Linked DNA regions of Ovis aries. The protein of the gene in region 1 interacts with the protein of each later gene in a biochemical or structural test. Links are inferred from orthologs where the notes say so. Each region holds a gene or a part of one and is shown on either strand. Other genes may lie near its edges.

The links.
Region 2: the proteins of DOK1 (region 1) and FGR form a complex in vitro, tested with the Homo sapiens proteins (2 studies listed by BioGRID, with this or other methods). The link is inferred for Ovis aries from reciprocal best matches to the Homo sapiens genes DOK1 and FGR.
Region 3: the proteins of DOK1 (region 1) and CRKL form a complex in vitro, tested with the Homo sapiens proteins (2 studies listed by BioGRID, with this or other methods). The link is inferred for Ovis aries from reciprocal best matches to the Homo sapiens genes DOK1 and CRKL.

The regions. Positions count from the first base shown.
Region 1 is NC_056056.1:96,401,928-96,412,045, forward strand, and holds DOK1 (docking protein 1), read left to right. Parts: upstream 1-3,795; 5' UTR 3,796-3,802; coding exon 3,803-3,862; exon of another isoform or gene 3,863-3,995; coding exon of another isoform or gene 3,996-4,037; intron 4,038-4,211; coding exon 4,212-4,511; intron 4,512-4,655; coding exon 4,656-4,749; intron 4,750-4,961; coding exon 4,962-5,146; intron 5,147-5,374; coding exon 5,375-6,184; 3' UTR 6,185-6,597; downstream 6,598-10,118. Other genes in the region: LOXL3 (lysyl oxidase homolog 3), read right to left, coding at 1,072-1,375; M1AP (meiosis 1 arrest protein), read right to left, coding at 7,646-7,828, 8,758-8,898, 9,988-10,118. UniProt on the Homo sapiens protein: DOK proteins are enzymatically inert adaptor or scaffolding proteins. They provide a docking platform for the assembly of multimolecular signaling complexes. DOK1 appears to be a negative regulator of the insulin signaling pathway.
Region 2 is NC_056055.1:239,413,513-239,423,630, forward strand, and holds the start of FGR (tyrosine-protein kinase Fgr), read left to right. Parts: upstream 1-4,377; 5' UTR 4,378-5,067; intron 5,068-5,259; exon of another isoform or gene 5,260-5,365; intron 5,366-10,118. UniProt on the Homo sapiens protein: Non-receptor tyrosine-protein kinase that transmits signals from cell surface receptors devoid of kinase activity and contributes to the regulation of immune responses, including neutrophil, monocyte, macrophage and mast cell functions, cytoskeleton remodeling in response to extracellular stimuli, phagocytosis, cell adhesion and migration.
Region 3 is NC_056070.1:72,318,495-72,328,612, reverse strand, and holds the start of CRKL (crk-like protein), read right to left. Parts: upstream 4,966-10,118; 5' UTR 4,564-4,965; coding exon 4,253-4,563; intron 1-4,252. UniProt on the Homo sapiens protein: May mediate the transduction of intracellular signals.

The DNA.
Region 1 (10,118 bases):
AGGGAACCCTCATGCATATCCGGACAGGACTTACCCAGCTTCTGCTGGGATACCTACCTCTTGCCCCATTAGGCTGTTGGAACTATCACAAACTATTGAGATTCTTTTATTACTTTCCTCCACTCCAGGTCTGATTCAGTCCTTTGATGCCACCCAGAAAAATCCCTCAGTCAAATGACTGTCTTCAAGTTTGAATTCAACCATCATGTAATTATGATCCAAAGCTTTTTCATTTCATATCAAATATCCCTGGTTTATTCAGCTATTCCTCCTTGAAATGTGGCTTCCAATCTTTTACATCCGATAGCTCTCCTCTGAAAGTACTTCCATTTCCAGGAACCTAAATTCCCTATTCAGGGATTAAACCTGTGCCCTCGGGAGTGAAAGTGCAAAGTCCCAACTACTAGACCACCAGGAAATGCCCAGTACTTCCATTTTCTATTGTCTCTTTGAAAATGTGGCATCTAAAGTGATACTTTATTCCAGATGTGGTCTAACCAGTGGGAATAGGGGGTTAACTGCAGATTGCGCCAGCTCTACCGATCCCACTGTGAGTTTATACAATGCAAGTGCCCCCAGGTCTCAGAATTGCTCCTAAGCCCCTACTAACCACATCCTAAAGTTTATACTTGTCTTTGGAAGCCAAGCTTGTCGGTTTCAGCTCTAAATTATAATCTGATCTTGTTGGCTGCAGTATCTGCGATCACTTCTGTCTCTGGGACATCCAGATGTCAGTTACCTGCTCTCAGCTTCCCATGAAACCAGCTGTTCTTTAATCATACAGGGCTCCTCTGTGTCAGGGCTGTCTTTGCATGTGGCTTTGTAGAATCATACTTTTGCAGAAGAAAGTAACTTACAGACCATCTAGTCACTTTGCACATGGAGGCATCTGAGGCTCAGAGAAGGCATCGATCAGCCTAAGTTCACGCGGCTTTATGTTGGTTGGTTTCCCCTCCACGGGTGTACTTGACACTGGCTGTTCTTGGTATTCTGTGTCCCCAGGGCGGTTCCCTCCCCTACATTTAGGCTGTACTTTGGCAGTACCTAGGCTGTGCCTGAAGCATTGCTCACCTGTTCCAGGGCCATATTTGGCACTGTGGGTCCAGCCTGTGGCCTCTGTGAAGCCCAGCTCCCGGCATAGGACATGAGCAGCCTGCAGCGTGAAGTCATCATCGCAGATGGTGCCCCATTCACCAGCCCGCTGTATCTCCACGCGGCCCTCGAATGGCTTCCTGGGGAAACCAGCCAGCCGAAACCGCAGCCCCTGGCTCCCGGCCCTCTTCTCAGGTGCCGTGGACGGGGTTGGAGATCCCAGGCACAAACTGCACAGCAGCAGCCCCCACAGGCTCCACTGCCAAACACTGACAGGTCCCATGGCAGGGAAGGCCTGGGTGCCCCAGAGAGAGAGAAGCTGAAATTGAGAAGCCCAGGTCTCAGAGAGAGATCATGAGAGAAGAGACACCGGCTAAGACCAGAGACAGAGGGCCAGTGTGACAGAAAGGGAGGGACCCAGGGGCTGAGAGAGACAGAGAGAAATCCATCCTAAATAAGAAGAGAGATGCAGAGTAACAGAGGCACAGACTGAGACGCGCAGACTGGGGAGGGGGGGCGGGTGGGAAGAGAGAGAGAGAGAGAGAAGGCTCTCCCTCCCTCTGTAAAGAATAAACGCTCACTATTAGTTGTTATGTCTCATAATGTCCTTTCCCTGGTTCTGCTATCATCACCTCTGTCCCGACTCACAGGTCAAGGACACCCAGTGATCAAAAGACAGAGATTAGAGACCGAGATCAGAGGCCCATCAAGATAGATAGGTTGAGACTGAGCAAGAGACACAGAGAGGGAGACCCAGACAGACAGGATGTGAGAGGGAGGGAAACTGTGGGAATAAAAGGGGACCAAACAGACAGTAGAGAGAGAGTGTTGGAAATGGACAGAAGGGGGTCAGGAGAGAGTCTGGCACACAGAATTGGGGAGCAACTGAGAAAGGCAGGCAATGAGTAAGGAGGAGTTCAGTTCAGTTCAGTCACTCAGTCTTTGCGATCCCAGACTGCAGCACGCCAGGCTTCCCTATCCATCAAAAACTCCCGGAGCTTGCTGAAACTCTATAATTGCCTTGAGAACCCCACGAACCTCATGAAAAGGCAAAAAGGAGGAGAGGGACTGACAAAAGCCAAGGAGCAGAGGCAGGAGGGACCCAGATGATCCTGTTCAGCCAGTCAGAGAGAGGACAGATAGTTACTGATTGTGGAAAGAGGCAGGCAAGAAGGGGCTTAGGGCACCCTCAGATCTCAGGTCCCCTAAATGGCAGTCAGGCTGAGAGTCCTTTCTGGGCAGATTCCAGGTAGAAAAGGCAGAGAACCAGAATGCACTGGAGAACTTGGTACACATCCCGCATGCCCTGCAGGGTCAAGGGGCCCAGAAGGGCCAGGCCTCAAGGTGGGGGTGGGGTGGGGTGGGGTTGTCCAAGCCTCCTGCCAACACAGCCATCTCTTTCCCGGGGCAACAGGAGGCAAGAGCACTAGTCGGCTTCTCAGCTAAGGCCTTCCCTCTGTCGGGAGAACAGCTCCTTTACAGCGAGCTCCCCCTACCCCCCCACTCCCACCCCCCTACCCCATGCTTCCCCCAACTCAGACAAACAACACAACAGGGAAGCTTTGTTTGGGGACATTTTGGCTTGGGGACCTAGGGAGAGGGCCTCACAGAGGAGCCCCTAGCCTTCGGGCACTTCGGATGCCCTATTTGGAACACCCTGTAGCCCCCACTCCCCAATATCTGCTTCCTTTCTCCACTCTTCTTGTGTCTTCTTTGACTATACAACCCTCAGTAGCTTGGCTTTCCTTTGATTCTATCCTACATCACCCCTTTTCCCAGGTCCCTCCATCATCCTCTCCTTCCCACCGGGAGCGTGACTCCCCCTACCTTTGGCTGAACGGGGACCCTAGCGGCTGGGAGAAGAGTCTTGATCCTGTAGATCAATCCTAGGACTTCCAAAAAAAAGTACTTGGGAGACTGCCCCTCTTTCTCCCCCGCCCCCCCTCTTCGTTCCTCCCACGTCCCCTTGAGCCCTCCCACATTCCGCCTTCTCCCAGGATCCCTCCCAGGGCAGTTCCCTCCTCTTCTCCCCTCCTCCTTGGAGCTGGCCGCTGTCGCCGCTCAATCTCCCTCCCGCCCCCCTCCTCGCCCCTCCCAGCCTGTTTAATAAAGCTCTCTTTTCCCGCGGGTTGGGTGCCGGGCAGCTGCGGTCAGAGAGCTGGACACACAGGAGGCCATGGGGCCGTAGACTATCTCGGGCTGCGCCCCATGCGGCGACTCGGCTCCGAGCTCCGGGAAGTCTTCAGTCCCCAGCCCCAGCCCTTCCCCCATGTCCCCGGCTCTGCGGATCGTAAATAGCCGAATTCCCGCGGAGCAGGGGTCGAGTCAGGTCCGGGGAACTGAAGCCTCGAAGGCCCAGAAAGTCCCTCCAATGCCCCAGGGTGCCCGTAGGCATTTTCTAGATGATGTCACGGCCTTCACTCTGATGTCACGTTGAGCATCTGACGTTGTACGCAGCCCCCAAGCCTAAGAGCCAGAGTCCTCTGACCGAAGTTACGAGGTTTCTCTCGGTGAAGCCACTAGCGCGAGACCTAGGGCTGGGAATGGGGGTCTAGAGGTGGTACCCCTTCCCCTTCCTCTGGCCCATCTCCTTCCTCCCCTTTCTGGGTTCGCGGAGGCTGGGGAGGGATGGGAACGCCTCCCGCGAGCCCCGCCCCGCCCCGCCTCCGGGCCGCCGAGCCAGGAAGCGCGGAAGGAACCGCCGGGGGCCATGGACGGGGCCGTGATGGAAGGGCCGCTGTTTTTGCAGAGTCAGCGTTTCGGGGCCAAGGTAGTGTGGGCAGGGGTTACCGAACCCCATCCGAGCTGGAGGTGGGCGACTGAGCCCAAACGGAGGGAGGGGGCGCGCGGCGGTTAGGGGAGCGGCGCCGGGACCCGGAGAGCCCTGTGACGTTCCCGCTAAAATGCTTTGCATGTTCTTCGGAGAAGCGTCCGCTGGCCTCCGGGTATGCCTCTCTAGCCCTGGGGAGACAGAGCGGCATCCTCCTGGAGAAACTTCGCCAGCGATCGGGAAACCTTAGTGCTGAAATCGGCCCGCGCGGGTCTTTTCTTCCCCCGTCGGGGCCCGGCAGCCGGTACTTGTCCGCTCCCTCCCCAGCGTCTCTCGGCTCTTTCCCCAGAGATGGAGGAAGACCTGGGCGGTTCTCTACCCGGCCAGTCCCCACGGTGTCGCGCGGCTCGAGTTCTTTGACCACAAGGGGTCGAGCTCTGGAGGTGGCCGAGGGAGCTCGCGCCGCCTGGACTGCAAGGTGATCCGTCTGGCAGAATGTGTGAGCGTGGCCCCCGTGGCGGTGGAGAGCCCCCCTGAGCCTGGCGCCGCAGCTTTTCGCCTGGACACCGCACAGCGATCCCACTTGCTGGCGGCCGACGCGCCGTCCAGTGCAGCCTGGGTGCAAACGCTGTGCCAAAACGCTTTTCCGGTGAGGGGCCCGGGGCTGCACTGGGCCCAGGAGGCGAGGCAGGGTGGGAGCAGTTACAGCGGCAGAGGAACTGGGCTGGCTCAGACCCTGGGAATCGCGGTGAGGGAATCACAGCCTCCTTCATACTCCTTCTCTTTACCCCAGAAAGGCAGCTGGGCCCTGGCACCTGCCGAGAACCCACCCAAGCTTTCTGCCCTGGAGATGCTGGAGAACTCGCTGTATAGCCCCTCCTGGGAAGGTAGATGGCCTGAAAAGCCCCAGCAGGGATGGGGTGGAAAGAAAGGGTGTCCTAGGAGGGGAAGTAGGAAGCTCCTCAGAGCTGGCTTGTGAGAGAGAGAGAGAGAGAGAGAGAGAGAGAGTGTGTGTGTGTGTGTGTGTGTGTGTACAATCTGCTCCCTTCCCCCACCCCAGTCCCGGCCAGGTCCCAGTCTAATTGTATATTCCTTCCAGGATCCCAGTTCTGGGTAACGGTGCAGAAGACTGAGGCCGCTGAGCGCTGTGGCCTGCATGGCTCCTATGTGCTGAGAGTGGAGGCGGAGAGGCTGACTCTTCTGGCCATGGGGGCCCAGAGGCAGATATTGGAGCCACTCTTCTCCTGGCCCTACACTCTGTTGCGTCGCTATGGCCGTGACAAGGTACGGTGCTGTCAAGACAGGACTGGCTGACTGGGTTGGACACCTGTGGGAGGAGGGGTGGACAGGAAGGTGGGAGACTGCACTCTAGATAACTCTTTCTTGCCTAGACCATGACCAACCTCCCTTTCCAGTGGTCTCTTCTTTGTAGGTCCCCTAACTAGTTGTAGCCCTGTGACTCACCTCCTCTGATGGCTGCTGGTAACGTGTTTCCCTCTACATCCTCTTCAGGTCATGTTCTCTTTTGAGGCTGGCCGCCGCTGTCCCTCCGGCCCTGGAACCTTCACCTTCCAGACGGCACAGGGAAATGACATCTTTCAGGCAGTCGAGACTGCTATCCACCGACAGAAGACTCAGGGAAAGGCTGGCCAGGGGCAGGATGTTCTCAGAGCTGATTCCCATGAAGAAGTGGCGGACGGGAAGTTGGCTTCCTCCTCGGCCCCTCTGGAGCTCCCAGGCAGCCCTCCAGCCCTGTATGCTGAACCCTTAGACTCCCTGCGCGTTCCTCCAGGCCCTTCCCAAGATTCCCTGTACTCAGACCCCTTGGACAGCACCCCTGCTCGGGCAGGGGATGGGACACAGTTAAAGAAAGCTCTCTACTGGGACTTGTGTGAGCATGTGCAGCAAAAGCTGATAAAGGCCAAGTTGACAGACCCTAAAGAAGACCCCATTTATGATGAACCTGAGGGCCTGGCCCCAGCCGCTCTCCGGGGCCTTTATGATCTGCCTCAGGAGCCCAAGGACGCATGGTGGTGCCAGGCTCGGGTGAAGGAGGAGGGCTATGAGCTCCCCTACAACCCTGCCACGGATGACTATGCTGTGCCGCCCCCTCGGAGCACAAAGCCCTTCCCAGCTCCCAAGCCCCAGGGCCTGGCCTTATCTGAATCTGGTGCTGCAGCTGGCAGTGGCAGCCAAGGCCGTAGCTCAGACACTGCCCTGTACAGCCAGGTCCAGAAAAGCGGGGCCCCAGGGAGCTGGGACTGTGGGCTCTCTGGAGCAGTGACTGACAGCACTGGGGCCAAGTCAGAGGGTTCCACGTGAGACCTGGGCGAAGCTGAGGCTGCTGACAGGAGGACCATGGGGAAGGAGCATGGGGTCAAAGAAACCTGTTAGAACCAGCAGGAACCAGAGGGGCCTGTGTGCAGAGACCAGGTTACAAGGGGAGTCAAGGGAAGGACGATCTGTCCCAAGAAGTCATGGAAGTGGGACAGAGTCATAAAGGGGCTCAGGGATGGGATCTGGGGGAGGCCAGCACCTCTAAGTCATCCCCACCAAAGGAAGGGATAGCTGCTGGAGCACAACTATAGAAAAGGGTATTTGGTCAGAGGAGGTGTGGTTTGAGAGGCTTGTATGCTGTGTCAGGATCCCTCCCCCTTCATTGTTCTTTACCATATATATATATATATTTTTGGCGGGGGTAAGTTTTATTCTCATTAAAGTCAGTTTGGATTTAAGAGGTCTGTGTCTGTGAACAGTCATAAAAGGGACAGAGAGGCAAGATGTGTTGGGCAGACATTAGGAGAACCAGAAAGGTGTTGGGGGCCACTGAAGGAGGAAAAGGCCCCAGGGAGGGGGTGACCATTCAGAGTCTGAAAGGTCCAGTTAGGCCCACCTGGGGTGGGTGGGGCCCTGGGCATAACGTTGGTAACCCTCAGTTTCCCCTGTTGCCCTTAGGTAAAATGGGAAAGCGTAATTATAGGCACAATCTCACAGGGTTGTTTGTATGGAAGGAGCTAAATTTCTCAAGTACTTAATTGATTTGAAGTGCAGAATAAACATTTTACAAAAGGTAGTTATTCTGTGGATGGACAAGGCTGCTGGGCGGGTGTGAGGAAAGGGGAACAGGGAGGGAATAGGCCTTTTTCATACCACCCTCTCCCCTGTTCTCAGCTCTAGGATGCCCCCCTCCCCTTGTCTCTCTTTCTCTCTCTCTCTCTCTCACACACAAACACAGTTTGCATGTAGCTAGCAAGCACCAGCCACTTTTCTGTTTGAAGGCTGATGGGACTTGCAATGTGATGGGAGGGGCACAGGCTTTGAAATGAAGCTTAGATTTCACTCCTGCTTGTTTTTCATGAGCTTGGAAAACCTCATCCTTCTCTCCTGAGGTCCAGTTTCCTGAAGGTGACCTGACATCATCCACCTGCTTACACAGAACTACAAGGAGAAATTTGGGTCTGGGAATACTCCTAACAACGGTAGAGACCTACTGGGTATTTATTCTTCATTTGTGTTAACAGTATCAAATGATCCAAAAAAAAAAAAAAAGTCCCTTCTTAGAGAAAGAAGAGGGTCAGAAGGGTCTCCTCATAGCCTGAGGAGTGGGGTGCTGAAAGCACTGGAGGCAGAGGAGGGGAAGGCTCTGTTTCCCAGTCACCTGGAGCTCGCAGAGGGTTAGGTGGACAGAAGGCAAGTCTGGCCACAGAAAGCCACTGTGGGACAGATCTGGAACCTTGGCATGGATGTGCTTTAGCAGGGCAGTCGGGCTATGGCGCTAGTGACTTAGGGCCCTGAGGGATACTCCTCCTCTGCCTCTTCTTCCTCCTTCTCTTCCATAGGAGGCTGGAAGAAGACTTCTGAGGAAGCTTTGCTGGCTGCTGGCATCTTGGGGGCTCTGCCAGGGGCTGGAGTCATATGCAGAGGGGCCACTGTAGCTCGCACTCGATTTATTTGTAAAGGCTCAGCCTGCAGAGAAAGCAAGAAGAGCTCTCTGTGAAGACTAGACTAGTCCTGATTTCCTATCCCATTCCCTGCTGGGTCTCCAGTCCTAACTCCTTCTTGGGTCCCATGAGTGACAGCCTCAAGGCCCAGAGCAGCGGAGTCCCCGTGGCTCTAGCCTCCACAATGCTTGTCTCCTGGCTGAGTGTCCTCCTCTGTTTGCTTGCCTACCAGCTAACTTATGGTGGGTTTTATTCCCACCTCTAGACTGTCTGTAGTTTGGAAACCTCTTTCTCTTGTAACTTCAGATAAAACAAAAGTTTTTTCCTACAGGCTTTGTTACTGAGAAACAAGGAAAAGATTTATAAGAGCACAAAAGGAAGCCCATATACTATAGAACATGGATTTCATTAAAATAAATCCTCCCCCCACCCCAATTCCTCTTCTCTCTTGAACTCTTGTCACTGGAGCCGTGTCTCTAAGCTTCTAACCTTGGTCAGCCTCCCTTTCCTCATCTGTAAAATGAGCATAACACTTACCTTGTAGGGATGCTGTGAGGATTAAATCAGAAAAATATATGTGAGAGTACAACTGTTGCTTCGTAAATACTAATTTCCCTTCCTTTGGGCATTTCTTATCCCACCTTCTTTCAACAGAGGCTGCGGTTGTGGTTCCAGTGCAGCCAGTTTGCTTAGTGGGACAGTGATCTGTTAAATGACTACTGAATTTCCCAAACACCTCAATTAAGATAACTAAATATTTATGTAAATGCCCAAGCAAAAAAGTCCCAGTACTGCGTAAGGGTTGTAATTTTCTTTGTCTAGGGCAAAAGGCTTCTCTTCCCATTGATCTTCCCATTGGTTGTTCCAGAGGAGATCAGGGAGGATCTCCCTTGGATGGGGGACAGGGGAAGAGGACTTTGGCATTCTGGGCATAACAGGGAAGGAGGGAAGTACCTTTCTTACAGCCCGGCTCTTCGAGCTTGGGTGGAACCGGCCATGAGGGTTGGCAAAGGTGCTGCTCAGGTGTGAGTACAGGTGGCTCCAGACTTGCAAGGGGTTGTAGGTGGATTCTAGTTCCAGGTCATCAAGCATGCTCTGAAGAAGAGAGAGGAGGCACCTCACTGGGAAACGCGAGGTCACAGAACCCAAGATGTCAGGCAGAGACCTGAGCGTGAGAAGCTGAGGAGGTGTGATGGCCCCAGGCTTCACTGAAGGGTATGAGAGAGATGCGTGTCCTCCTGGGTGTTCGGGCCCCCAGGTCTGAGCGCTTGTGAAGTGTCAGGCAGGGGTTCAAGAAGTAGCAGCAACCGAATGGTGAGGGACACGGAGCATTCTGGCCCCAAGAACCATGTCACAGGATTCTGAGGGGCCAGAGTGCCATGAAGGTTACAAGGGAGCCAGTGTGTGAGGCTGTGAGGGAGGGAGAGTCGGGGGCTGAGGCGCTAAGCCTGTAAAGCAAGCACATGGTGTTCTCGGCCTGTGAGGCGAGCATAACCGGAGGATATGCGAGCAGAGCATTCCTGAGCAGTCAGGTTTTCCGGCCACAGCATCCTGTGCCAGGAAACAACTGGCCCTGAAGTGAGACACTGAGTGAGCCACGGCCACTCGTGCCCACCTCTCTCGCATCCCTGTGGCTGCCAAGCCAAGAGCACAATCCCAGGCTCTGTCCTCTCAGCACCTAAGCCAGGAATCCAGCAGCAGGGGTGTGGTTCCAGTTCTCTGCGCCGTGAGCCCCCCTCCCACCCTCAACTGGCGGAGCTGGCAGAGGAAGTCCAGAATCCAAATCCAAGATGAGAGGAGGGGAAGGAGAAAAGTGGCCTTTAGAGCTGTTCCCTCCTTGGCATCATAGTCTCATTTTAAAGCTCTTCCTATTCTCAGCGCCTATATTGGCTGCCCTTTCCTCTTTCTCTCAGAGACAGAGGCATACAAACATAGGCACACACACATGCATTCAGAGGTTGCAGAGAAGGACCCATGAGAACACACCATCACGCAGATGCGTGCTTTCTTCCGTCTTGCCTCAGTTCCTTGCCTTCTTCTCTGTTCCTCTTACCATACGCTTGCAACCACTTCTCCCTCTGCTCCCGGGTCCTTTCCTTCTGGGGCTGATTCGTTTCCCTCATCCCTTTCTTGAACTCCACTCTCTTCTCTCCCCTCTATCCCAAGAGACCTGGGTTCACTTGCCTCCACAGCCTTAAGGCTGTCAGCAGGCATGTCCTCAGGTAGCAGGGGGAAAGGGCTGGGCAGCATCAGTTCCCGAGTGGCCACTGCCTTCACCAGCAGAGTGGGAGAGTGGGATGGCAGGATCACGTAGA
Region 2 (10,118 bases), on another chromosome or scaffold:
GAAGACCCAGCACAGCCAAAAAAAAAAAAAAATTTTTTTTTAATTCAAAAGAATTCCCTTTAACTAGTGTTTTTGGCACCTTCAATGCACTGAACTGTGGCCTCTGTTTAAATTCATAAGTCAAAGCCAGAACCCCAATGTAACTATCTTTGAAGATAGGGCCCTTATGGAAATAATTAAGCTTAAATAAGCCATAAGGGGCCTCCCAGGTAGCAATCCACTTGCCAATGTAAGAGACACAGGAGACATAGGTTCAACCCCTGGGTTGGGAAGATCCCCTGGAGGAGGAAATGGCAACCCACTCCAGTATTCTTGCCTAGGGAATCCCATGGACAGAGGAGCCTGGTGGGCTACAGTCCATGGGGTCGCAAAGAGTCATACACTGAGCATGCATTCATATACCCAAAGCTGTAAGGATGGGGCTGTAATCCAATGTGTATCCTTATAAGAAGAGACAGTGGAGAGTGCCTTCTCTCTCTGCCAGGTGAGGACACGGAGACGGTGGCCATCTGCAAGCCAGGAAGAGAGTTCTTACCTTGATCTAGAACTTCTAGCTTCCAGAACCGTGACAAATAAATGCTTGCTGTTGGAGCCACATAATCTATGGCTTTGGTATGGCAGACCGAGGTGACTAATGCAACATCATTGAGAGTTCTTACCTAAATCGATTATCAGTTGAGGCTACAAGATGGAGCTTTTCTAGTTCTCGCATTCCTTCTAGTATATTAGGTGACATTTTTCTACAAAGGAAAGCTTTCCTTCAAGTAGCAATGAATAGCAGCCTCTCCAAAGAAAGGCGGGATAAACGCTACATTTTCTAAGGGAAAGTTTGGAGGTTTTGTGTTTTTTGGGGGAGTGGGAACTTCTAGAACCTGTTTGTATGCTGAGAGGTTAATTCTTTGGAGAGGGAGAGACATGGTACAAGAGAGGAGGTCACAGAAGGTGTAAAGTCCTAAAAAGGTGGGAGGATGTGGAGTGCAAGTGGAGGAAGGAAGGGGAGGGCAGAAGAAACGACGTGAACTGGCCTTCTGGGTGGACGTACAGGGCCAGCTTACTAAGAAATGTGCCGGAGGATTGCTGGGCTTGGTTGCATGCATGCTAAGTCGCTTCAGTCATGCCTGACTCTATGCGATCCTGTGGACTGTAGCCCGCCAGGCCCCTCTGTCCAGAATTCAGAATTCCTCTGAATTCTCCAGGCCAGAATACTGGGGTGGGTTGCTATGCCCTCCTCCAGGAGATCTTCCTGACTCAAGGACTGACCCCACATCTCTTATGTCAGCAGCATGGGCCCGCAGGTTCTTTACCACGAGCACCACCTGGGAAGCCCGCTGGGCCTTGTTAGTGTTCTTGGAATCTGGGAGCTGTCACCCTGTCTGGCAGGTGCTTTTCTCTTCCACACCCAGAGAAGGTAGACAGTTAGACTGCTGCAGGTCTGGGGCTTTCCAGGCAAGCACCCTGGAGGGTGAGGGGTGTGGCACAGGGGCACCAGCACAGCTGAGCACGGAATCCAATATGGCTGAAAACAGAAGTGAGAGCAAGAGTGATGGCTGGATGGGAAATGGATAGGAGTGCTCAGCTGCTTGCTGGCCCTTGTGTTTAGTTTTGATTTCAGTTTTCAGAATTTATTTAAAGGAACATGCAAGCATGGGAACTGCAAGCACTGATGACAGTGGGAGAGGGTGTTCAATAGGCCCCTCCTATGGCCTCCTTGTCCTGCGCCCATCGTGGGGAGCAAGGGCCACATAGAGGGCAAGGACTGGACCTGACTCCTGTTCGAGCCTCCACCACCCAGCCTGGCACAGGCTAGTGACAGGGAAAGTTGAGTTTGATTGACTGAATGAAAGAATGATAGCAAACACTTGATACAGCACTTACTATGTACAGGTCACTAGTACAAGTCACTTACTGTGTATGAGCACACTGATTTCTCCCAAGACTCCTGTAAGGTAGACACCCCCATTTTACAGATGAAGACACAGAAGCACAGAAAGCTAAAATAATTTGTCCAAAGTCATGCAGCTAGAAAGAGGCAGAGCTGATCTACAGACCAGGCAGTCTGGGCCCAGAGAGTCCGTATTCCTCATCATCAGGATATTCTGAATGGATGAATGTGAGTCATAGAATCGGCTTATCTCTGTCCTGGGTGAAGCCAGGTATCTCTTGAGGTCAGAGCCCAGATCTGGTCAAGAGAGAGCCAAGTCAACCAACAATGAACTGAGAACTACTCTGTTCTAGATTGGGACACCTGCCATAAAGGAGACAAACTCAGCACTAAGGGCAAGAATAAAGGGACCTCCTTAGCCTACGTGGTCAGGGAAGGCTTCTCTGAAGAGGCGGCACTTAAGGTAAAGGACAGAAAGGAGCCAGTGCTGTGAAAAACAAGGGAAAGAGTGTTCTAGGAAGAGGAAACTGCATATGAGAAGATCTTGAGGCAAAAAGTTAATGTATTCTAGGAACTGAAAAAGATTGCAGTGTGGCTGAAGAGGAAGATGGCCCAAAAGGAACTTAAGAGGTGGGTAGGGGCCACGACTCTTCCGAAGCCACGAAAAGGGTTTGGATTTAGTTATTTTTCACTATTATTGAATTGTATTTTTGTTATTCCAAGCAGAATGGGAAGTAAGCCATTAGAGTTGGGTTTTTTAGTTTAGTTTTTTTTTTTTTGTCATTAGCGTTTTAAGCAAGGAACTTATGTGGTCTGATCTGTATTTTAAGAGCAGAAACAGTTCTGTTCTTCCATTCATTTGGATAGTCAGTCATTGATTCTTGGATATTTTCATTCGTTCTTTAATTCTTACATCCATTTATTTTTTCACTGGACTTTCATCTGTTTGCCCACTAGTTCCTTTGCTTCTTGATTGACTCATGCACTCCTGTACTCAGAGAACCTGCCTCTCTGTGCCAAACCTTGCCCGGACTCCAGGGGCCTTGCCAACAGCCAGACACAGTCCTTGCCCTTGAGGAAAACATATTCCACACCCCACACCCCAGGAACCAGTGGTCACCAAGCAAATGATGCCGAGTGCTCTGCGGAAAATCAGAAGCCAGCCTTTGAAGGATGACAGAGCCTGATAGATTGGGGTGGGGGGTCCCCAGGGGCAGGGACCAGTGCCCTTCACGTCTGTGGTCCCTAAGCCTGACACCTGACCGGCAATGATAAATATCTGTTTGTTAATTGAACAGGTGGAACAATGGTCAGGCAGGAAGTACTTGATGGTGGGAGGTGATAGGGTCCAGCCAAGGTGAAGCCACCCTCCCCAAGTCCCTGCACCTCCAGCTCCTCCCCTGTGCCTTCCTCCCCACTCTTCCTCCAATATGAAAGGCATTCTTACCTGTACCCGACTGTTCTCTGCTGCCCCGCAATCATATTGAGACAATTCACAGGCATCCCTGCTCACACACAGAAACACACATGCCTACATAATGCGTCCCTGTTGTTGATTCTAAAATTGCAGTCATCGTGTTCATTGCCTACAACCACACACTCACACATCTGTGCTTACGCCCCCTCCCGACCTCCCCACCATATCCCAACACACATACTTCTCCACCAAACAGCCCTCCCACACACCTCATCCTCCCCTGACAAGAGAGATTCTGGTGGTCCTGGCTGAAGGCTGAAGAAGTAACAGTGGTGGAAACTGAACCCCAGGTTGAGGGGAGGGGCATCGAACCCTACTAGTTGGAAAGGCTAGAACTGTTGTGATAGAAATTGCTATACTTAGTTTTTCTAAAAGTTGGGGGTGGGGTGGGGGAGGCTGACAACCTCCTGCTTGCTCAGTGTAGCGGAATGACTGATTCCTCTGAAAAGCAGAGAAGGGTCTTCTGCTGCTCCTCGCTGTCCCAGAACCTTTCCAGTGCCCAGTCTCCAAGGATGGCAGAGCATGGTGACTGGAGACCAAGTGGCTCTGGTAACAGCAGCCTTGGGTCAACTGGCTGTGAGAACTCGGGTTAAGGCCTGTCCCGGTGTGGTCCTCGAGTTTTCTCAGTTGCAAAGGCCAGAGAGCAGAGCAGTGATGGAGAAATGCCCCCTCTTAACCTCAAAGGCAATAATTCTAAATGAGCAGGTGCTTCTGGGTGTGAGGAATCTGACCCTTTGAAGGGAGTCTCGGGGAAGTCTGTGCTAAGGGTTCAGATCTGGGGAGAGGAGCCGGGGTGGGGTCGGGGTTGCGGGGGGAGGCCTGGGAAAACCGAGCAGCGGTAACTCGGGGGGAGGTGGGAAGCGGGGGCGGGAGGGCCTGGGATGTGAGGGCCCCTCCCCGCTGCCGCCGGGCAGCTGGCTTGGGGCTGGGGCGTGACTGCAAATTCTCCCCGTCGCCACCGCCACCGCGCGCCGCCGCGGCTGCAATAAGAGAAGTCCGAGGCGGCTTCCTCCTCCCTGACCAGAGGGGCCCGCGGTCAGAGGCGGGCAGCACCCCCGTTTGCTCGCCCCCACCCCTGTCGGCACTCGTGGCTGCTGGGAGCCCCGGCCGGCTAACCCCGGGGTCAGTCAGAAGCGGTCTCGCCTGGGACCAGGTAGGAGCCGTCGGGGGAGCTGGAAGGGCCGGCGGTGCCCCGCCCCCAGTCCCTTCGTGGCTGGGAAGAAAGGGGGACGTGGGGTGCGGAGAGGAAGCCCTAAACCTGGGGAGGGGAGCTGACGGCGTTGAAGGCCAAAGGGTCCTCACCCCGCAAAGGACATAAGAAGGAAAACGGAGGAACTCTGGAAAGTGAAAAGCTGATACAGTCTGGGGAGAGGGCTGAGGGAAGGCCCGGAAAGTAGACTAAAAGGGCTCCCCCAAAAAAGACCTGGTGGGAACCTGCAAAGACGAAGCTGGGAAAGGGCTGAGTCGGAAGAGGAAAACTGAGGGGATCCTCAAAAGGGTCTGGGTTGAGAAACTAAGAGACCTTGAAAGTGAGAATCTGGGGAGAAGCTGAGGGGTCTGGAAGAGAGGAAAGACTTTTAGGCGGGCGGGGAGGGGTCTGCCAAAAAGGAGTCAAGGAAAACCGTTTCTGGAGGACGCGGAATGTGGGTCGCAATCCCGAGGGTCCAGGAAGCCCCTCTATCCGGAATCGGCAGAAGTCGGAGGTGGGGTGAGGCCAGCGGCCGGGAGGGGAGGGGAGGCTGTCACAAGCGCCCCCCTAGAAGCTCCAGCCCGGCACAGGTGGGCGGGTCCGGGCTGGCGAGGGGACTCCTGCAACGCGCAGGAGGCGTGGGTCCTGGTTTCCTGGGGAAGTCCCCGCCCTCGGCAGGGATGGGCCTCTCTGGGTGCCCCCTCCCCTCCCGCAGCGGTGATCTCGGTCCACGTTCCTCTCGGGATCCGGGAATTGCTGGCCGCCCCGACGGAAATCCTGCCTTTGACCGCGATTGCCGGGAGGGGCTGTCTCCATGGTAACAAGAGGGCGGAGGGACTTAGCCCAGCTCTGGGCTGCCTCGGGGCTCAACGCCTGCGCTGCCCTCCGTGGTCTCCTCCCCCACCCCCATTTTGAGTCCTTAGTTCGGGGCGAGCTGCGGGGCCGAGGAGTAAGGCGAGGATGTGCAAGTGTTCAGGGATCGGGGCCGTGGGGGATCTGCAGTCTCAGGGTTTTAGCCAGACTGGAAGCTGGTTTGCTGTGTGGCTTTAGGCAAATTATGCGGCCTCTCTGGGCCTTAATTTCCTCATTTGCATTGTGTAGGAAATTATCCCTGCCCCTACCCAGCTTCCATCCCCCAGCTTATCCCCAGTCGTGGGATTCGGATAGACTAAGCTGTTTCCCCCACCCCCACCCCACCCGGTGTCCTGGGGGTAGCCTCTTCAGTTTCTCATAAGCATAGAGCTGGACCAGAAAGCCTGACAGGGCCTCCAGGGACCAAAACACAGGTGACTTCTTATAAAATAAATATTTGTGAGTCTGTTGAGGCCCCACACTGGGAAAGTCAGCCAGTTTGAGACTGTCCTTGACCCTTCCCCTTATTTATTTTTTTGGTGATTTGTGTGTGTGTGTTTATGATATAAACACTGGTTTGTCAGCAAGTTTTGCTCTTCTCAATTCCAAATAATGCAACGTGCAAGAATATGCATTTTATTGAAACTTTATTTTCTTTTTTAAAATTGTTTTATTAAAAAAAAAAAAATGTTTGGTCATGCTGCATGGCACATGGGATCTTAGTTCCCCAACCAAGGATCAAACCCATGCCTCCTGCATTGGAAGCGTGGAGCCTTAACCTCCGGACTGCCAGGGAAGTCCTGAAACTTCATTTTATTGAAACCAGTGATCCCTGAGTCTTTTGATATCGTTCCATCTGTGAGTGTGGTGGTGGGAGACCAAGGCTCTGTTCCCACTTCTCAGATGGGAAGATGGAGGTTCGGGAGTGAATAACTGACAGGTCAGCAGTAGGGACCCAGAAGCCGGGCATCCTGTCCCTGATGTGGTGACGGATGTAGACAGAACTGAAGCCTACATTCCCTCCTCATCCCTACCAAATTCCATTGCCCTCTGGAGAGGAGAGGGAAGCCGGGTTGGGGGGGGGGGGGGCGGTCAGTGGTGAAAGAACATATGGGTTTCCTGGGCTGTGTGGCTGGTTCTTGCTTTCCAGTGGGTGTGAAGCTGTAAGTGAGGGTGGAGAGTGTTTGTGAGTATGGTTTGGGCTTTGAGTGAATGAGCTTGAGCATGTGAGCATGTGTGTGGGTGTTTGGGTGTTCTCTGCAGCCACCTGGGGCTGATGTGGCAAAGGAAGTGGCCAGACCTTGGGAGGATGGGTAGGGGGACCCCGGGGCTGGGGAAAGAGGACCCAGAGCCCTTCCTGCACAGAGTCAACCAGGCTGGCTTCTGACTGGACCTGGGGAAGGGACTTCCTGTCTGGGCGTGCTGTGAAATTCAGACTCCTACTCCTTCAGTTCCCCCTGGACCAGCTCATGGCTTTCCATCCCCCAAGAATCTCAAGTCTCTCAAGATCTCTGTTTTAGAGGCTAGCGGGTAGGTTTTCAGCAACCGATGAGAAAACACTTATACCCACAAGAAGTAGAGAAAATTCAGCTGACACGGTGAGGACCCTGTGGAGGGGAAAGCTAGTGTGGCCCCTCCCTCACCCCCACACACTGGCTTTACCAAAGTGATAGAATCAGAGCTGGCTATGTCTTCTTAGCCCCTGGGTGTTAGGGGTGGGGGTGATAGGCCTGAGTGATGTGAGATGGTTGGAGGTTCTATGAGAGATGAAGGCCTCAGTGAGGGAGATGGAGGCTCAGGAAGGGCACTGGAGCCAAGGAGGGGTGGAAGGTCTCAGTGAGGAATGGAAGCCTTCATCAGAGGGTCAGGCCTTGGTGAGGGATGGGGTGCGGCGAGCCTGAGACTCAGGCCTGCCCACCAGGCCAGCCTGAAGCCCTGAGGAGAAGCCGGAACTCTTGCTGGATGGTGGTTTCCTGCCCCTGTTCAGTCCCAGTTCCCTTTTGGTGAAATCCCCCAGGCGGCTGGGCTGGCTCAGCCCTCCCACCTCACCCTGAGCACTTCTCTTTCTTCTCTGCCTCGTCACTTCTCCTTCCTCGGCCTTGGAGGGGGCTTCCTCAAGGGAAGGGGCCAGAAGTGAAAGTTCACCTAGCAACTACAGTGCCCCGGGTGCTCTCAGGGGCTTGACCACAATTGAGGCTCAGGAGCAACCCCAGGAGGCAGGGATTGAGATTCCTATTAACAGGCGAAGAAACTGCAGCTCAGCGAGAAGTGAAGCGACCTGCCCAATGTCTCAAGTCAGGTAGAATTTGAGCCGAAATCAGTTTCCAGATCCCACAGATACTTGGCAGAAATCAGGGGGGAACAGGACATCCTGTGTCTACATCAAAGCCCTGATGTGGTGTTGGGAAGCATAGACCGAAGAAAGGATGGGTGCATCTGGGGCTCCTGTGTCCAGGAGGAGGGGTGGGAGGCGGGCAGTTTCTCCGCTTTATGGCCAGCTGCCATATATATGGCAGGGGTGGTATGAGCAGTTGTCCGGGGACTGGTAGGAAATATGACATTCACCAATCAGGGAGAACATGACCCCCCTGCTCAGGCTTTGGAGAGCACAGCTGGGAACAGAACTCTGTACTTGAATTAATAGTCCTGGCTTTGAATCCCAGGTCTGGCTGTTTGACCTCCAGCAACTCACTTCCCCTCTCCACACAAGAAAGAGGTAGACTGATAAATCATCCCTGGGGGCCCTTCTAGCTTTGCTGCTTGTGATTCTCAGCCTCCCTTAACCACAGTGGCCAAGAGCCTTCCTAACAACTGCACGGAAGATACAGATGCAAAAACAGATGCTCAGAAGGCTGATGTCATTCAATCAAGGCCCCAAAACTTGGGAGGGCCACACAGAGGGAGAGATGCTGAAGGTGGGAACACCATGGTCCAGGATTGGACCTCAGTTCTGACATCCACAACCTGATCTTGACCCAGATCAGACTTTGGAAGCCAACTCCTGTCAACCAGATATCCAAGAGGCCTGTTTATTAACAGACTCAAGTCCCTGCAGTGACCAGAACACTTGTGGAGGGTCTCTGAGCCACTCCCTTTGTAAGCAGGCAACCTATATCAGCCCTGAGAAAAGAGACTTGGATTCAGATTCTAAGGGCTATTGAAAATCGGTGGTTGCTCAGAGACCCTGGGCAGGTCACTTCCCCCTCACTGGGCTGTAAGGAGGATTCAGGGTGTGTAGCACAGGGCTTGGCACTCTGTGGGGGCTCATGAAGGTACATAACTGTATTGCTTTCACGAGGACTTCAAAATAAGCAGTGCTTAAGATGGACTTTGGAGCCAAATTGCTTGGGGTTGTGTTTTAGCTTCCCCTTATTCACTGTGTAGATAATCTTTGGGAAGTTATTTAACACTTTTGTGACTCGGTTTCCTTATCTGTAAAATAGGGGTAATAATAAAACCTACCTCATAGGGTCACTAAATGAGATCAATCATGGGACTTGCTTGGCACTGTGCCAGGCACAGAGTGACGTGAAGTGAAGAGAAGTGAAAGTTGTTCAGTTGTGTCTGGCTCTTTACAGTCCCATGGACTGTAGCCTGCCAGGCTCCTCTGTCCATGGAATTGTCCAGGCCAGAATACTGTAGTGGGTGGCCATTCCCTTCTCCAGGGGAATCTTCCCAACCCAGGAATGGAACCCAGGTCTCTCGAATTGCAGGTCTTTACTGTCTGAGCCACCAGGGAAGCCCCAGGCACAGAGTAGGTGTTTAATACTTTAACGTTTTAAAACTAATAGTTATTTACCTTTCCACCCGCTTCCCCAGACTTCTGGAAGTCAAATTATGCTCCTAGGCATTGGTGGCTTGTAGCTGAGTTGAGAGCTAGTGGAAGACAAAGATTCCTGGGGGCTGTTTCCATGCAGATGCTGAGCAGAGAGGCCCCTCCGTGTTCCCTTTCTCTTTTGTCTGTCTTTGCCTCTTTTAGTTCTCTCTGTCTCAAACCCTCTCTTTCTCAGTCTCTGTCTGTCTTCGTCTCGCTGCCTCTCATTTCAGTCTCTGTTTGTCTCTTTGTTGCTTTCCGGCAGCGGTATGCTGGAGCCAGCTACCTAGTACCGGCCCTGGGGAGCTGATTCTGCAAATCTTTTTCCAGCCCAGCGTTCAGCAAGTCACTTCAGTAACTTGAAATCGGCCATGGTGGGAATATTTACACCATGGAAATCAGCAAATGCTACAAATCTGGGCCTTTTTATTCCCCCGTTTCTTTTAAGAGTCAGTGTACCAGCACACCCTCACCCCTGCCCCCCCCCCCCCCCCCCCACCGCCCACACCATCAACCTTGCCAGGGCTCTCCCTCTGCCTCCTTCTCGGAGGGTCTCTAAACCCCCTCCCAATTCCAGGCTTGCAGAATTAGGGGATCCCCTTAAGCTGACTTTTAAAGATGGGGGTAACAGGTACCTGCGTATTGTTGGAAGTGGCAGCATCATGTCTAAGTGGGAACTCAAGAGATCGTATAAGTTTGAAACTTATCGAGAGGAGCTCTGTGTGGATCTGTGACTGGGGGAGGGGAGGACTACATATATCTCTGGGTTTCCCGGTGGGGGCTCAGTATACCAGTGTGTGCTTGAAGGAATGGCTGGAAGCCTCTGTGTCTGTGACCAGGCAATGGAGAGAAGTGGTTCAGATTCTGGAACCAAGCGCCAGGATACCTCATCTGTGTGGCCTTG
Region 3 (10,118 bases), on another chromosome or scaffold:
CAAGAGCCACTCCCCACAGAGCACCTTTTCCTCCAGGCCCTGCCTGACCCCCGGCCGGCCATCCGCGGCACCCTCAGGGAGCTGAGCTCGGCGGCAAGGTCACGGTCTACTTCCATGACGAGGCTGGAGTCCAGTCTCGCGCTCTGGGACGGAGGAGGCCTCAACACACTGAGATTCCTGCTGAAACTAAACCGCCACAGACACAGGGAAGCCTCTCCCCCAGGCCCCGGTAAGTCTGTTCCACAGACAAGGAAACCCCGTGTGCCACCGGGCTTGCTGCCGGGCCCCTTCGTCTCTGCGCCGCCAGCATCCCCGACTAGCGGCCCCACCTCGCTGGGGAGGCCCTATCTGGACTCCCACTAACAGAGCACTGCCTCCTTTTACTTATCAGAAGGAAAACGTTGTTGCCCGAGTGAACCTCAAAAATAATCCAGTCCAACAGTTCAGATCAAGAGAATCATTCTTCTATAAAACGTCCTCTGAATCCAAGTCTCAAACGAGAGAAGGGTCACAGGTCAGACGGCTGTCAGCACTCAGGCGCCACGGGGACAGAACTCCCGCCTGGCTGAGGTTCCATCCAGCGTCACAACAGTTCTGTTCCCATCTAAACTGAACTCAGGGGATTTAAGCTACCGGTAAGAAGAGACTCAAAGGTTACCCATAGTGCCGAATTCTATGTCAACTGAAATCAGCTACCGCTCCTCTCCTACCTGCTACTCCTAATTACGAGCCCAAATGCCCCCTTAAACACCCAGGTTGCGGCCGTGGGAGAAGGCGTGGCCTCTGCCTGGCGGCCGTGAGCGTCCCCTCTGGGCAGGCGCTCAGGTGAGGTTGGGCATCCTTTCTGGCCCTCGCACAGCTGCTGCCTGTATCAGAGGACGCGGTCTTTAAAGTCAGCATCCAGGAAGCTCCAGAAGAGCCTGACAGGGAGTGCTGAGCAACATCAGATCTGTACCACCAGAGCGTGCTCTCAGCAATATCTATCGAGCAACAAAACAGGGGGGTGGGGGTGGGGAGGTGCCTCTATGAGCCAACTCGCCTCTGTTTTTCCCATCTTTGCTCCTCACGACCCTCCTCCCAGTCATCACACAGCTACACGAGCTGGAACCGGAAACTTCATAAGAGAAGCGACCTACGCAAAGCACACTTCCAATTTTCTAGACCCGGGAAAATGTACTGTCTCTAAACTGAACCCACTCAGAAACTGGACCCTGCTGTTAAACTGGAAACAGCCTCTATTAAAACGGAAAGAAAAACCCAGGAGCACTTACCTAACACTGAACAGAACTTAACAGAATCTTGGAAGTGTTCACACTCAAGTAAGATGGAGGTGAAGTGTCTGTTTATGCAACAAGCTTCAGCCTACAAGCTGCACCCGTGTGCGGAAAAAGAATCCTTTAAAATCTGTCATTGGAAAACCAGAAGCCACTGACACACCTTAAATGTAAGATCCAAGACAGGACTGAATAGTGCAACTCAAAAGGCAAAATTAACAAGACAACCCAGAGGACAGGCAGCTGCAAACACACCAAGTCATCTGCCTCTTCCTTCCTCCTCTCCGTTCCCCTCCCATCAGCAACCGTCTTCAAACCACAGCCGTCCGTCAGCCCTGCCAGTCAGCCTGCGGAACGTCTCTACTACAGATGGACGCACGGACGGACGGACAGCTCACCAATCGTCATCACCGTGACCTGGATTGCAATAATGGCCCAGGTCACTTCCTGACTGCAAACTCCCCCCTGGCACCCCACTTCCTTCCTCTGAGCAGCCGATTCAAGCTGCCTCTGCAGAGCCACGGCCCTGGCGCGGCTGGCTCCCCACCCTGGGCGCCCTCTTGGCTTCAGCCCTGCTCTGACCCTCCTGCCTCAGGTCAGCCCCGCCTGCTAGACCCCCTGCCCACGTGGACTTTCTTCACACCGACCAATGCTGTCTTTTACTTAAATCTCTACTTTCCAGCCTGTCTCCTCACTGACATCTAAGGCCCATGATGGAGAAAGCACGTCACCCCTCTCTCCCAGTACGCATCCCTGGGATTAACTCTCCTGTAATGTCTGGACAAGGACGTACACTGTGAAGTTAAGGGGGCGTCCCTGTGGTGCAGAGGTTGAGACCCCAGCTGCCACTGCCAAGGGCTCAGTTTTGGTCCCTGGCCAGGGACTTTGGCTCCCACACGCTGCACGGCCAAAAAAAAAAAGCTACTCCCCCAACAAAAAAAAGAGATCAGTCCTTAAATTCTGAGGAAGCCAGTAAGTCGTCACTTTTTACTGAGCAAAATGAACCCCAAAAAATAACTATTAGCCAAAGCGCAGAAGCTCTGGCTTCAGGAGCTCGGTTCTGAGGCCTGAAAGAGCCTAACCACTTCATCCATCCTGCCTGGGGCGTGGAAGCACACGGCCCTGATTTTTGCCTTTGGCCAAAGCTGGCCCGGCCTTGTCTTCTACACTAGCTGAGTAATAAGCGCATCACACAGATCCGCGGGTTTCTGGCTCCGGGAGAGGCGATCCAGGTTCAGTGTGACCAAGTGAATCCTGCCAGGATCTCATTCAACTGGGGCAGCGGCAGCCCTCGGAGACACCAGGGGAAGGAAAACTCGACGGCAGCGGGACGCCCGGGGCAGCGGGCGGAGAAACAGCAAAGCTCAACTGGAGGCGGGGGCAGCGCCAGGGAAAGGCCCCAAGGGCAGGGAGGCGCGCCCGGTGAGGGGCGGGTGGGGCCCGAGCAAAGGTCCTCCGGCGCGAGTGGGCGTGTAGCGCGGGCTCCCTGGAGGCGGCGGGAGAGGGTGAGGACGGGCATCTGGGAAGCAGCACGAAGGGAAAGCTGGGGGTGGCGGCTGCGGGCACTGGGAAGCCAGGGCCGCGCCCCTTTCTCTCCACCCAGAGGGGCTCGAGTCCCTCCCTCACGGCTGCACTGAGGCGCGCGGCGAGGCCCAGTCAGTGCCCGAGAGAGCGCTCAGTCACCTTCACAAGCCAGAAGAGCCAGTTACGCGAACGCAGCTGAAGCCTCACCACTGCGGGAGCCGAGAGCCCCCAGCCTCTCACGCTGGAATCACACTGTGCTGAGCGCTGCCTCTAGCTCCCAGGCTCTTCGGGGACCTGGAGGCCTCGCCAGTCAGACTCGCCGCGGCTAGGCCTTTGTTACGCAGTATCTGATTTATAATCCCTGTCTCCCAGCTTTTAAAGTCCATTTAGCTCAGCAGTTAACCTCCTGGTCATTACACCGCGAGGGCTTCATTCTTCTCTACCTCTAGTCCACAGAAGCATCCAGTGCGTCCCCCTTTAATACGACAGCTTCTCATGTTCAGAGCTGAGACTACTATCTTGTCAGCAGATCTATCAAGTCAGAACCATCTCACCCTGAAAAAAACCTGTATTAGCACCCTGTCCTTTCTAAGCAGACGCTTGAAAAGATCAATACCTTTTATTTTTAAAACCCTACGCCATCTCTTTAGCTCAAGTTTTGCATAATCTGCACAAAAGAAGCCTCGAGCAAAATATTAAGGCCAATAATGAAGCCCAAATGAAAAGGGATGCCCAATGCTCAGTGTCACTCTGGGTTATTTTAAAATAGATACTAAGTCATGCAACTCAGTACAAAAAGGACATCTGAAATTCAACTAGCGTAGAATCTTCAGTGGAGTGTCATTCAAAATTTCCTCTTAGTAACAGTCTAGACTCATTCCACCTTGGAATTTAACCAAATGGATTTCCAGTCCATTAAAGGCCCAGCTTGGGGGAAATCTATTAAAAAAAAAAAATTCCTCGTTCAAGCCGACCTCTTCTACAGTATTTTCAGTTAATGTGTTATAAAACAGACGCCTGGCTTATTTCAACCCTGGCACCAGGCTATCAATATATGGCCCTGATATTTCACAGGTAAAGGCATTTCGTTTCTACCTGCGAAGGCATTTCCATCTCTAGAGTTTCCAAAGGCTGCCGTCCGGGAGGTCCAACCCCGGAGCTCAGAGACCCTGAAAGCGGTGCAAACTCGGGAGGGCGGGGGGCAGGGAGGGGCCCGCGGGGCGGGGAGCCGAAGACTAGCTTCAGAGTCTCAACCCGTGGCCCCAAACCGGCTGCAAGACCGGGAGCAACGCCCTGCTTCAGCAGGTAATTTGCACCGAGGACGCGACGAAGGGCAGAAAGCGCCCCTTTTCCAACTGGGCGCCCGCAGCGCGAGCTGCCGGGCCCGACGCACCGCCCTCACCCACGGCGCCCCCGGCCGGCGCCGCCGCGCCGAGCCCCGCGGCCCCGCGCACCTGGGCGCCGGCTCGATGAGCGTGGTGGTGTCCAGGTAGTGGATCTTGTAGAACTCCAGCAGCGCCGGCAGGTGCTCGAACTCCTGGTCCCCGATCTTGAAGCGGCGGTTGGGCAGCGAGTTGATGATGTAGTGGGACACCCGCGAGTTCTCGGACACGGACAGCACGTAGTCCCCCGGGCAGGTGGACGAGTCGCGGACGAGGAACACGCCGTGGCGCTGGCCCTGGAGCCGCGTCTGCGCCTCCTGGCGGGACACGGGCCCCATGTACCAGGCCGAGCGGTCCGAGGAGTCGAACCTGGCGGAGGACATGGCGGGCGGCGCGCGGGGGGCCGGGCGGGCCGCTCTCGCCGGCGCTGGGGGCGCCCCGCCCGCGGCGGCTGCGCGCCGGCCGGGCCTCGGGCTCACCGCGCGCCTACAGGCCCGCGCCCGCGCCTTCCTCGCGGCCGCGGGCCCGCAACATCCTCCGGGCCGCCGGCCTGCTCCGGGGCCGCCGCGCGGGCCCAGCCGGCTCCGGGCGCGGGCCCGGCCGAGCGCGGCGAGGGCGGCTCGCGGCGCCTCCGCTCAGCCCTGGCCCCGGCGCGCGGCCGGCCCCGCGTCCCCGCCGCTCCGCACCGAGCCCCGCGGCCGCGCCGAGCCGCACACCGCCCGGGAGCGCCGCGCCGCCGGGGCCGCCGAGCCCTGCCCCGCTCCCGAGAGCCACAGCAACAAAATGGCGGCCGCGGGCGCAGCGGCGGCCACCTCCCCCGCCCCCCCCCGCGCCCCGCGACTGCGCACGCGCGCGCGCCCGCTCCCGGCGGCCGCCGGCGCCGCCCCGTGACGTCACGCCGCGCGGCCAATCGCGAGGGCGGGCGTGCGCCGCCCGCGCGCGGCGCCGCGCTCCCTCCCGGGCCCGCCGGGGGGCGCTGCGGGGAGGCGGCGCTTCTGGAGCCCGCTCCGGGAACAAAGCGGGCGGCGCGGGCCAGGCCCGGCCCCCGGGCGCGGCCCCGGGCCGTGCGCAGCCGGGCCGGCCAGGTTAGGGGGTGGCGGGGCCGACCGCCGCGGGTGCTCAGGCGGTGGCTGGCGAAGCTCCCGCGTCCTCTCGGAGCCCTTGCCGCCTTGGCCCCCCCAGGACCCCCGCCGCAGAAGCCCCGGCCCCTGGCCGCACCCCCGTCCGCGCCGGACCGTCCGTTTCACGGGAGCGGGGTTTGGTGCGCCTTGTTCAGCCCTGGGCCTGGCGCTTCTTCGCCCCGCCCTACGCTGATCTCAGACCTGGGCGGAATGAATGACTGTCGGGGACCCCCCGCCCCCGCCCCCGCCGGCCGGTGGAGGCGCCTGTCCAGAGGGGCATCGGAGCCCGGCTCTAGACTCCTGGGGAGCCGATCTCGTTGCTGGGCTGAGCCTGTCCTGCACTGTAGGTAGGGCAGGCGTCCCCAGCTTCTGCGACCCAGTGCCTGATGACGGGAGGTGGAGCCGATGTAAGAATAACAGAAAGAAAGTGCAGCGTGAAAGGAATGCGCTTGAACCATCCCCCGCCCCGAGGAAAAACTGTCTTCCACGGAAGGGTCCCTGGCGCCCAGGATGCTGGGGACCACTGTCGCAGCGTGATGGCTGACGTTCCTTCCGGGTAAACTCAAGGGGAATCGTCACGGCCTAGGGCCTTTTGTGACTCAGCAAAGCAGGTTTTCAGCTTCCCTCCAAATACTTTCGCGTCGTGTTACTTTCGGGCACAATTTGAATAGCTCAGAATTTGAAGAGGAAGGCTTGAGTTCCAATCCTAACCTGACTTACCAGTTGACTGTATCATTCCTTGTCATATTTTTTTCATCTTCTAATATTAATTTTTCTTTCAGTTTTATAGAGAGATAGTTGACATACAGCACTGTACAAGTTTAAGGTGTACAGCTTAATGGCTTGACTTGCTTACATCATAAACTGATTATCATCACCATAAGTTTACATATAGATACAAAATTAAATACAAAAAAAATGTTTAGTGAGCATCTCAAAGATACACAATTATATCTCAGAGAAGTTATCATAGGTTGTATGCTTTGCAAGAGGCACTCAGGGAGGTCTTTTGAAGTCCAGGACTCATTTCAGTGTTACACAATTATTGCCTATAAGTTAGTCCATTTTGCTTGCTTTGCTAATGTGTGTGTGTGTGTGTGTGTGTGTGTGTGGCGGGGGGAGCTATTAATTACATTATTCTACTTTTGTGTATGTTTGGATTTTTTCACAATAAAAATAATTAAGTAATTTCTTATTTTTCCTTAGCACAGCTGAAACAAGCTTAAAAACTTTTTCCCCCAAAAAAACAGCCTAGCCACTAAGAGGTAATGAAATGGAAATGAAGGGGACAAACGACAAGAAGCTTTAAAAAGGGGCCATAACGTAAAAAAGATTTGTGATTCTGCTCTAGCTTGCTCTTCCCGAGGTTTCCAGGTAGCATTGTACTTACTCTCTTCTAAGATAGTTAGTTTAGACTCAATTGACAAGGCTTTTCCAGCAACTTGCCAGGGTTCCTGTCCCTGAGGCTGCCTCTGTACTGAGGATTCAACGCCAGCTCTCTTTTGTGGCCTCGCCACGTGGCATGCAGGGTCTTAGTTCCCCAACCGAGAATCAGACCCGCAGCCCCTGCCTTGGAAGACAGGGTCTCAGCCACTGGGCCGGCAGTGAAGTCCCCTCACCGAGGAATCTTTTTAATTATGTGTTTGTTTCCCTTTTCTGTGCGGGGTCTTCATGGCTGCACGGTTTTTCTGCACTTGCGGCGAGCGGGCTTCTCGTTGCGGTGCCTCCTGCTGCAGGGAAGGGCTCCAGAGCGCAGGGCGCGGTGGTTGTGCCGCTGCTGCCCAGCTGCTCCGTGGCTTGTGGGATCTTACCAGATCAGGGACCGAACCCACGTCTCCTTCACTGATAGGCAGATTCTTTACCCAGTGAGTCACCAGGGGAGCCCCCACCCCGCCCCACTGACTTCTGATTCTCCCCTGTCTGGTCCAACCCTGCAAGCGATGGTTAAGGCCGGACGGTCTTCCCAGGTTGCTGCCTTACTGAGGACCCGGGAGGACAGTGTCTGTCCCTTCTTCCTGCCCTAGATTCTTTGCTGGCAAAGACAGTAAGGTAGAAGAGGCCTGCCTGTGTTACGGGGAGACGCAGCAAGCGCGCTCACCGCGCTGACCTGATTGGGTCGGGGGTTCTCAGGCGTGGTCTCCACGAGCCCTGGTTGACCACTGCCTGGGTTAGACACATCCTTGGAGACCCGCCTCGCCCTCTCACCCTGCAGTTCTCCGTCACTGCTCCCCCATGCTTCATGTCTATTTCCAAATTTTTCTCCCTAACACAAAAGAGGAGCTTATTGGTTATCTTCTCCCCCACCATTAGTTTGCTACTTCGATACTAATAAAATAATGTCCAATCCCGATTATAATTTCCCATGACGCACTATTTAAAATATCAACCTGCTCATCTCTTCTTTCCCAGGGGGACATCTCTGCACGAGGCTTGGCTGCTGTGTTAGGAAGTTCTACCGACCCCTCTAGAAAACACTGGCCGACTTAATTCCAGTGTCTTAAAGTCTGGTCATGGCTCCGCCTGGCATTCTCTAACCTAGTTCTAATGGCTCTGCCGCCTCTTGTATAAAATATCCATTTTCTCGGACTTCCCTGGCGGTCCAGTGGCTGAGACTCTTTGTTCCCAGTGCAGGGGGCCCAGGAGTGATCCCTGGTCAGGGAACTAAGATTCCGTGGACCGCAACTAAGGGTTCGCACACCAGACTGCAGACCCCGTGTGCTGCCCACTTAGACTCGAGACAGCCACGTAGGTAAATAAATTAGTTTTTTTAAAAGTCCACTTTTGTGTCACTTGAGCTGAAAGGCAGCTTGTCTTGTTTCTCCTGATTTCAGAGCATCCTGGAGTGCCTTCAGCGAAATCCCCTAGAGGCACGCTGATTCCCTCTCCCATCCCTTCTCGGCCAGTGCTGTGCAGCCCTTTAGACCGGGCGTCCCCAGATTTTCCTCTAAAGATCCAGACAGGAAATATTTAAGGCTTTGCAGGACAAAGAAGAAAATCGAGGAGTGTTATGTAATCTTGCTCCAGCCTCTTGATCTTCCTCCCTGGCTCCAGGAGAAACTCCTGGAAAATGGGAGCATCTTAACACCTCAGGGGATCTGCACCCGTTTTTATCAATCTGGAACATTCTCTCACCTGATGAGAAAAATTTTCTGCAATCTTTTAAAAGGAAGTTCAGAACATCATAGTGGTTGAGTGTTAACTGTTTCATCACCCGAGCATGCGAGTGAGAATAATGGGATTCATCTGGGATAATATTTCACTTCATTGGGCTTCAGCATCAGTGTCCCCTGATGCTGAAATGTTGACCTGCCAGTGCTGAGCTGGGCGTAATTAGGCTCTGTGTCACCCCTGACGATGTCTCGCACCCAGACGGTGCGGCCCACCCTGCACAGTTTTAATGGAGCATGTTCACTGTGGGATGAAAGCGCAAGAGTTAGTTGCTCAGTCCTGTCCAGCTCCGTGCAACCCCGTGGACTGCAGCCCATCAGGCTCCTCCGGCCACGGGATTCTCCAGGCAAGGACACTGGAGTGAGAAACCATTCCCTTCTCCGGGGGATCTTCCTGACCCAGGGATTGAACCTGGGTCTCCTGCGCTGCAGGCAGGCTCTTTACCGTGTGGAGGCCCCAGGGAAGCCAGATTGTGGGATGGTATGTGCAAGAATTCTCCGAGATTCTTCTCTGGACGTTTGCCTTTTGTTATGAATACGTTGCAGATTAATCATCTTCAATTGAAGTTCGGGTGGGAACTCCTGAATTGCCCAATTAAATAGATTTTGAAATATGGAAGTTTCCATTGCGCTTGGCATCAAGGTCTGAAAGATTCTGCTGGAACTGTAGTTACAGCTCAGAAAATATATCTGGTGCAGGTCTGTGTGGGAATGAGATCTTGCTGCCTCTAACTGCGACAGCACAGGAGGGCACAAACCCGCTTAACATCCCTCTAGGCTCTCAGCGTCAGTGCTCGTCAGAATGCTTTGCGCACTGTCATCTCATTCTGTTTTACCGGCCGAGCTACACAACTTATAGGGCTCTCAGTTCCCTGACCAGGGACTGAACCCAGGCCCTCGGCAGGGCAGGGGCAGAGTGGTACTCACTGGACCACCAGGGAGGCCTCAGGGAACATCACTTTAATGTCAGCGATAGGCAGAAAATTGCAATCCCAAGTTCCCCTTTCCTCACACAAAATGAAAACCTCAAAAGCCAGTCGGAAAGCACCAGCACTTCCTCCTCAGGACCCTCTGTACGCATTTCAGGTTCCTCCACGTCGTGATGGCAGTTCCCCGAGGCGGGGTCGCAAAGAGTTGGACATGAGTGAAGTGACTTAGCACACACATGGACATCGTGCTTCTGAAAATGAAGACTTTAACAAAATGTAACGTACTTTTGGCTGTACTGGGTCTTCGTGGCTGTGCAGGCTTTCTCTCTAGCCGCAGTGCTCGGCCTTCTCGTTGAGGTGGCTTCTCTTGTTGAGAAGCCAGGAAATGGCTTGGTGGTGGTCGCTATAGGGCCCACGGGCTTCAGTAGTTTTGGCTCAGGGCCTCCAGGGCACCGACCCAGTATCTGTGGTGCACGGGGCTCAGCTGCTCCATGATTTGTGGGACCTTCTCAGGTCAGGGGTCAAACCCATGTCTCCTGCACTGGCTGCTGCTGCTGCTGCTGAGCCGCGTCAGTCGTGTCCGACTCTGTGCGACCCCATAGACGGCAGCCCCCCAGGCTCCCCCATCCCCGGGATTCTCCAGGCAAGAACACTGGAGTGGGTTGCCATTTCCTTCTCCAGTGCATGAAAGTGAAAAGTGAAAGTGAAGTCGCTCAGTCGT